2 linked regions of the Danio rerio genome follow. The protein of the gene in region 1 purifies or fractionates together with the protein of each later gene. This does not show direct contact. Links are inferred from orthologs where the notes say so. Each region holds a gene or a part of one and is shown in the gene's direction. Other genes may lie near its edges.

Region 1 (4,001 bases):
CTGAAGATGAATTTGCATGCGTGAATCAGAAACATTACCATTCAATAAATGTGCAAATAAAATATGATGCACAAACTTATTGGTGATTCCTACTTGTCTTTCTCGTGATAAATAGTGGGCAAAATCTGATATGTAGCAGGGAAAAAAGAAGAAAGAGTTTATCAGACGCTGGATTCGAGCCGAGTTTATGCTCGAGCGTGTCAGTACATGATCACATGCTTCTTATGAGGTGCGCCACTGAGACTGCTAAGAGAACTGCAACATTTTACAGATATAAACCACACTATTTCTTTTTTAATGCACTCAGTGCGATGTTCAGACCCAACTGTGTTAACCGTATCAGCTAAACTCTCCCACTCTATTTTTTTTCTTTTGTTGTTAATTCCGGAGAACAAACTTGCAAATAACACCGCTTTTCTCCAGTCTACCTCCGAAAGCAGCACCTCCAGTTCACATTCTGTTCAAAGTTTCTCTTTTTGCTTGATTTTGCCGTTGCTTTTTCGTTGGGTTTTGCAATTAGCATAGTCATTAGCATATTCATACGGGGGAGGAGGCAGGGAGTGGTTTTGTGCTCGTGCATGTTGCGCTCAGTTTCACGTTCATTCAGATGTACAAAAGAATATGCGTGAGATTCGGCGTACGCAGTGTTTCATACATCTGAATTTTTTTCTGCGTACGCACATTTACAGCTTTGTGCGTACGCAATGTTTTAGTAAGATTTCCACGCAAGTCTTCGTACATGAGGCCCCTGGTGTACTGAAAACAGTGCTTCTATTGGCATCAACTGAAAAAATACGCTCAGCTCAGATAAAAAATTCTTCAGTTGACATGTGTTAACTGTAAAAAGCTATAGTACTTGTTAAAAGCTATTAGTTACTAGTTAAAATTGTTAGTAGCTTATAAAGTTATGGTAATTGATAACCTTAACTTTTCTAAATTTGATTGTAATGCAATAATGTTTTGTAAAGCTGCTTTGAAACTATAATTATTGTGAAAAGTGCCATACAGATAAACTTGAATTAAATAGTAACTAGTTTAGATAAAATAATGTTTATATCAATTATTATGATATTGTTAACATTTTAGAAGTAATAGAATATACTGTATTTTCCTTTTTTAATGATGTATGCTTGTGGTGGTGGTTGTATATTTATTCTAAATGTCACTAGGCTACTGTATTTCATAACAAATCCATAAAACCATAATTTGAACTTTTTATAAACATTTGTATGGGATATAGTCAGCATTATTTATTTTATTATTAGGTTATTTGGGGTCATGTGTTTTGTCATAATCTCTCTCTCTCTCTCTCTCTCTCGCTCGCTCGCTTTCTGTTTCTCTCATTTAAGGTCGTACAGATGCAGTGCAACATTGAGCCTGTTGAGGAAGGAGCGAAACATCATGTAAGTTCTTTTTTTGTGTCCCCTGTGTTTATTACTGGGCTGATGTTATAGGTTTAGTCTACGTTCATAACTCTTCACTTCTCTTTTTATAGCTGACCTTACTTCTAAAACTGGAAGATAAGCTGAACCGACACTTGAGTTGTGATTTGGCACCAAGTGAGTATTTTATCAGGCCTCAAACAAACTCTACACAACTATGTAAACACTTCCAGCTACACAGTTGGATTTCACATTCTGTCGTGCCCTTAAACGTGTTACAATGCTGCACAAGTGTGTTGCGTTCTCAGCTGCAAGAGATGCTATAATGGGCATCAGTGCAGTCGGTTTTGTCTTTCAAGTCAGCTTAGCTCAGAAGCTTGCTGAGATGGTAAAACTGTTAGCTAGCTACCCGAGTACATGTTCGGTTTAATCCAGCAGGGATTTAAACCATAGTTATGTTTTATGTTTCAGGTCTAACATTCTTGTTTTTGTTCTGAACTGTCAGTGAAGCATTAGAGCTGTTCAGAAGTGCATCAGATTGATTAAGAATTGCCACATGTTGACACCTAATTTTCATAAAATTAAAATGATTAGAACTTAATTAGTATTTGGACACTTCATTTGATTGCTTTCTTTATCATATTTATCAATTTTATTTGATGCAGACACAAATGCAACATCACGTATGTTATAAATTATGAATTATTTATACTGAATTATTATTTATAATTCTAATTTGCATATATTTATAAACACAAAACAAAAATAATTATATTTTTTTATACAAATGATAACCCAAAAAAAATTACCCAATTTAACTAGAAGTAAAATAATCAGAGACATTCAGTTATTAATTTTCTTTTCGGCTTAGTCCCTTTAATAATTTGGGGTCAACAACATCACAACATCAACTGACCCAGCCGAGGCTCAAACAAGGCGACAGCACTACCTACTATAATAATATCAAAGAAACGCAACACTCTATCTAAACATGAGCATGTGGAATAAATAAGCTGCATGTGTAATTATTGCAAAAACAGTACTAACTTAAGAATGATGTGTGTGTGTGTGTGTGTTAGATGAGAATGTACAGGAGTTGGCTGTGGAACTGGTCCAGCTTGGTTTCATTAGTGAGGTAAGAAGCTTCATTTAGATGTGCTGAACACAACAATTTTTAAATGTTTTACGACCTTGTTTTTTCCCAGTTGTACATAACATTTGTATTTTGTTTATTTTCACCATTTCCTAAAGATTCACACCAAAATTTCAGTTTTTCTATCAATAGTTTTTGTTTTAAAATCTTACCAGGCATATTTACAAGAATTATTTAATGACATGTTATATTTTGATATGCACAGGTCAGGACAAGCATGTCGTTTCGTTTCAACATAAGTGTCATGTTTCAAAACATAATCCATGTTTTTATGTTTAGTTACTAAAGCGTTAAGTTTTGAAGTAGACATTACTTTCTTTTTATGTGCATGCAATATAATTAAATTCTTTTGACAATTTTATTTAACGTGGTCACTAAAATTGGACAACTCCTATTTGACCCATATGCGTTTATTTGTAACTTATTCAAAATATATATTTATTATAAAACTTATTAATGTATAATTGTTTGTAATTTAAAATATAAAATTTTTATTTTTAACCTATTTAATAAGGATTCTTTAATCTACATGAACACTAACAATTATACTTTAAAATAGTGTCATTAGTGTCATTTCACCACAACGTTTGTAAATATCAACCAAAGTACTTAATTTGAATCAAATTTAACTGTAAATATATTTTTTGTGTGGATTAAATGAAATAAGTACATGCTTAATGATCGTTGGATTGAAAAAAATCATACACATCCTAATCTGTAATGTCAGCCTCAGAGCTCTTTCTGGTATATTTCATGAGGTATATAGTTTATTGCTTGGTCCAGTAAGAGGTCACTGCTTTTTTTTAGGCCACTTTTCTATTTCATCTTTCATTGGTGGTATGTTATTGTCTTGGATCAGTATTGGTAAGATCAAACTAATCCAGATTGAACAATGAAGATTGACATTTAAAAAAAAACAATTGTCACAAAGTTAAGGCTGTGTCCGAAACCGCCTACTACTCAGTAGCTACTGCATTTGAATTTAAACATACTACTCAGCCGTTAAAAAAGTACGCTCTATACAGTATGAATGTGAAAAGTATGAATGGAATTCGGACGTACTACATCCGCCAGTTTGTCATGGTCACGTGACCTACCTGCGTCAGTTGCGTCTCCTCACTTCCATTCATGAATTCTCTCATGGGGCATTATGGGATAGCGCAGCGTGCATGGGATGCGCATTTCAGAATCTCGCCGGAAGTAGTAAGTCATCCTGGTACTTCTCCCCTACTGATTTTCGAGTTCTATGAATTCGGACATTAGGGGTGTAACGATATTAAAACCAAACCGAAATAGTCACGCCCCCTGCTGCCCATTGTTGAGGTTGACGTCACTTGTCTCTAACTAATTGAACCAATTTAAACACATCTTTAATATCATATTTGATTAAATTGTTTTAGTAATGATGAGGATTTGTTCTAAATATTATATTCTAAAGTTAGTATTTTAGTGCATGTTATGTCATG
Region 2 (4,505 bases), on another chromosome or scaffold:
GATAGATAGATAGACAGACATGTACATAGATTTTTAGATGGATGGATAGACAGACATGTAGACAGACAGACAGACATATATATATATATATATATATATATATATATATATATATATATATATATATATATATATATATATATATATATATATATTTCTAGATAGATGGATGTATGGATGGATGGGTGGATGGATGGAAGAATGGACGAACAAATAGATAGACAGACATGTAGATGATAGATAGATAGACAGACAGACAGACAGGCAGGCAGACAGACAGACAGACAGACAGACAGACAGATAGATGATAGATAGATAGATGATAGATAGATAGATAGACAGATGATAGATAGATAGATGATAGATAGATAGATAGATAGATAGATAGATAGATAGATAGATAGATAGATAGATAGATAGATAGATAGATAGATAGATGATAGATAGATGATAGATAGATAGATAGATAGATAGATAGATAGATAGATAGATAGATAGATAGATAGATAGATAGATAGATAGATGATAGATATAGATAGATAGATAGATAGATAGATAGATAGATAGATAGATAGATAGATAGATAGATAGATAGATAGATAGATAGATAGATAGATAGATGATAGATAGATAGATAGATAGATAGATAGATAGATAGATAGATAGATAGATAGATAGATAGATAGATAGATAGATAGATAGATAGATAGATAGATAGATAGATAGATAGATAGATAGAATAGATAGATTACTTGGGATTTTTATTTAAGGATTTAGCACACTGCTAGAATGTGTTAGTATTATATTTTTTATATAAATATATCTAAATATATTTAAGTTTGAACAAAATTCATTTCCTACATATGTGTATGGAGATCTAATTTATCTCTTTAATATTAGGCCAAGTTTGCTGATTGGTTAATGTGCAAATAAAGGTTGTCCTAATGTTAGCCCTACATATGAGTGTATTTTCTGGGATTGAAACATATAATGTATTGTAAAACATATATATGTTCAAAAATATATTTGTATTAATATTTTACCGTATGGGACAAAATCATTGAAAAATAAAACTTCTTTATTAATAAAGCCTACAAAAGGAGAACAATCGTTTTAATTAATTCATAAATAAAACATTAAGAGAGTCCGTAAAATGAGGATTACAAACTTTCTGTTGTTAGAAAACAAATATTTGCCGTCTGAATTTGTTTCCTCTGACAAACAAGGATCGTACGCAGCGCTCGGTATTCTCGACTGATTTACGTGCGGCTGTGCGCAGTCACCCATAGTGCAGCGCGTGCGATACGTAGCCATCTTGTGTAGAGCAGAGGAAGAGCAGCCGTTAGCTGAAAGCACACAGACTGACAGACCCGCATTCTGTTCTCTCAGGCTGAAATAACTTCAGGAACAGACAGTCAACATGAGTTATTACGCGTCGGCATGCCTGTCCAGCGTGTTTTCTGGAGGATACGTGCTTTTTCAGACGGAGGAGCGCTGAAAGCTGAACGCGCCTCAGAGTCGAGTGAGTCCAGCGGCTGGAGTTTGATCCGCGCCAGCGGCCTGAGAGAAACTCTCACACCGGGACATGGCCTTCATTTAGGCCACGGAGAGTAAGCACACGGGCTCGGGAGGATTAAACACTGCTGGAATAAAGCTGTCGTTGTGTTTGAGCTTCGTGAGTACACTTTGAACTCAACTAAAGGTCTGACAATGCCGCGATGAGGACGCGCGGATCTCTGGAGTTAACGTTAGCTTGACGCTAACTGAAAATTATAGCATACAGTTTTACAGGAACTGCGCTTAAATTGAAGCTGCGCCCTACAGTCTGACGTAAAACCAGAAAAACCCACCTAAAGCGGTCAAAATGTCTAAAATGCCGTCGAAAAAGAAGAGCTGTTTTCAGATCACGAGCGTAGTAACGCAGTCGCAGGTGGCGGCAAACAACAACACGGAAGACACCGAGAGTTTGGACGACCCGGACGACTCCACCAGAACTGAGGACGTGTCCTCGTCCGAGATATACGACATGTCCAAAGGTGGAGATTTCGAGCCGGAGGCCTGTGACGTCAGTTTGACGGACGAACCGCTGCATAGCGAAGCCGAAACATCTGTCCAGGACAGTTCGCGCAATGCGAGTGCTGTTCAGATGAACCCGAGTGCCCGAGCTGCGGGCCAGATGAGCCCTGCCTCTGTTTCTGCCCAAACCTCCACCCCAAACACCGCACACACAACATCAGTCAGCAGCTCGGCCACAGTGAGCACCTGCAGCTCCCGTTTTAGGGTCATCAAGTTAGACCATGGTACAGGTGAACCCTTCAAGAGAGGTAGATGGACCTGCACTGAGTTTTATGAGCGGGACACTGATGCTGGCCGGACTGTGGATAATGTCAAACACACTGACCACAGCGTGGACAAGGATGGGGCGGCTGCGCATGTCTCCACGCTTGCCGCAGACCCGCACACAGATAGTGGCTACATCTCTGCACCATCAAACCCTCCAGTCGAGCTCCAGCAGCACCCCTTCGGTATTGCACCGCAGAACCCATTTGGCGATGCCAAATCTCCCAGCATGCCTTCCACAACCCAGCCGCAGCCGTTTTACGCAGGTAAACCGCTGCAGAAGCCCGTTCAGGTGCTTCAGACTTTAGTCACAGATTACAGAGCGCAGCATCAGCCTCCAGGCTCCCCGGTGGTCTCAGTGGCCACTCTTCCCTTGGTTACCCCCCTAACCCAGGGCCCATCGCCCATCATGACCCCTGCAGCCGGGGGTGTGCATTTACTCGGGATGGGCCTTCCCATTAGCCAGCCGGAGCATGCCGTTCAGCCGGGCATGGGCATGGTGGCGCAGGCCTTAGCGCCGCTCATCCAGCCAGCAGTAACCGTGTCTGTCAGCTCTCACGCCGGCGTGCAAAATGTGCCTGTTGTAATGTCCAGTGCCTCTAATACCCCTCAGAGTGTGCCAAAGCAGAATGCAGCACCCCAGCAGAACCAGCCTCAGGGAGTGCCCAGCGGGTCAGTTGTGGGACTGGGTGCACAGATGAGCCTCTCGGGTTTTGGCCCCATAGACGAGGGCCTGAGAAAGCCGGAGATGCTGCAGCAGAGCTCGGGACTCTCCATCAGACCCCTGAACCCCGAGGGCCTGCAGCTCCACACACCTGCGGTCAACAGCTTGTTCGGGATCGCCCTTCCCATCGACGGGGACGAGGACAGGTACTGCTTTTCTCTCGCTGTCATTGCTCATTTGGGCGTTTGGTTCTTTTGCCAGTAAATAACACATTTTATTGCAGGTGTTTAAATATTTGCACATGAAGGACTCTTGTTGCTTTGAAAAGTTGGGTTTTTCCTAGGAAGTGTCTGAGGCAGAGTTTGTGCTCTGGTTTCTTGTTGAGTATTTTGCTTGTTTATTGACTTTTTTTTTTTTTAATGAATGTGGTTGGTTTAACACACAAACATGTCCTGGAGACCCATGGTATGGATGTTTTTCAGTGACTGTGATGACAAGTATCCACAATTATTCATATAAATTCTATTAAATATTTATTAATTTAGTGAAGTATGTGGTTCTGAGATGGAAAAAGATATTAAAAACATTTTTAATTTATTTTAAAAAAATATTTTTTGTTTATTGATACAGATTTTAGAGGCCATGGATCCCAAACATGATAAAAAGACCTCCATATAGCTTCATATAGACGTTTTTCTTAGAACGCAAAATTACCCATTATGCTTTGCGTGTATGCGCAAGGAGAATGCGAAGAACTTCCGGTCGGCAGCTGATGCGTGTAACTGTAAACAGTCACATTTGGACAGCTTTGAAACGATAGTTTTAATCTATTCTACATGCTTTTATCCTCTTTGAACTAATACTGTTGTCCATCAGCACCATCTCCTGGACTGATCATTTAAAGAAATGCGATCTAATAGGATGGAAAACAGCTGCTGTGAGGCTTTTTTCCCCTCGGTGTCAGACGGCATCTTCTGCAGTTTAAATGAAGCCTTGTCATCGCTAAAGTCAACATTTTCTCTTTATTTCAAATATATAACCAGCCCAAACACATGTAGTTCACCAAAATGTTTGACACACACTTAGCCTGTACTGTGCCACTGACACACTGATTTAATAACTGTGACAAAGTTTAAATATAGGCTAGTGTCATTTCGAAATGACAAAAAAACACACAAAATAAAACACAAACGGCTCGCGATTAGAATAAACAGCAAATCAGCCAGCAGAGGATCAATAACAGACTTTTATTGCTCATTTTTGTAAATTGCACGACTTTCATACCTGTTAAGTTTCATGCCAGTACTCTGGTTCTCTCTCTCTCTCTCTCTCTCTCTCTCTCTCGCTTGAAGCACATGTGACAGATTATAACGGCTTTAACAGACACATTTCTAAGTTGTGTGTCACAAAAACACTCTGTTATCCATTAAAAACGTCATTGAAACCCATTTTCGAAACGCAAATGACCAGTTGTACACGCTGTAAACGGAAGTTTTTAGCA

The links.
Region 2: the proteins of nrbp1 (region 1) and tsc22d2 purify together in Homo sapiens (affinity purification with mass spectrometry; 5 studies listed by BioGRID and IntAct, with this or other methods). This does not show direct contact. The link is inferred for Danio rerio from reciprocal best matches to the Homo sapiens genes NRBP1 and TSC22D2.

What each region holds. Positions count from the first base shown.
Region 1 is NC_133195.1:28,699,407-28,703,407, forward strand, and holds part of nrbp1 (nuclear receptor-binding protein), read left to right. Parts: intron 1-744; exon of another isoform or gene 745-1,349; coding exon 1,350-1,403; intron 1,404-1,495; coding exon 1,496-1,559; intron 1,560-2,461; coding exon 2,462-2,517; intron 2,518-4,001. UniProt on the Homo sapiens protein: Required for embryonic development. Plays a role in intestinal epithelial cell fate and proliferation, thereby involved in the architectural development of the intestine potentially via the regulation of Wnt-responsive genes.
Region 2 is NC_133197.1:37,220,841-37,225,345, forward strand, and holds the start of tsc22d2 (TSC22 domain family protein 2), read left to right. Parts: upstream 1-1,335; 5' UTR 1,336-1,864; coding exon 1,865-3,210; intron 3,211-4,505. UniProt on the Homo sapiens protein: Reduces the level of nuclear PKM isoform M2 which results in repression of cyclin CCND1 transcription and reduced cell growth.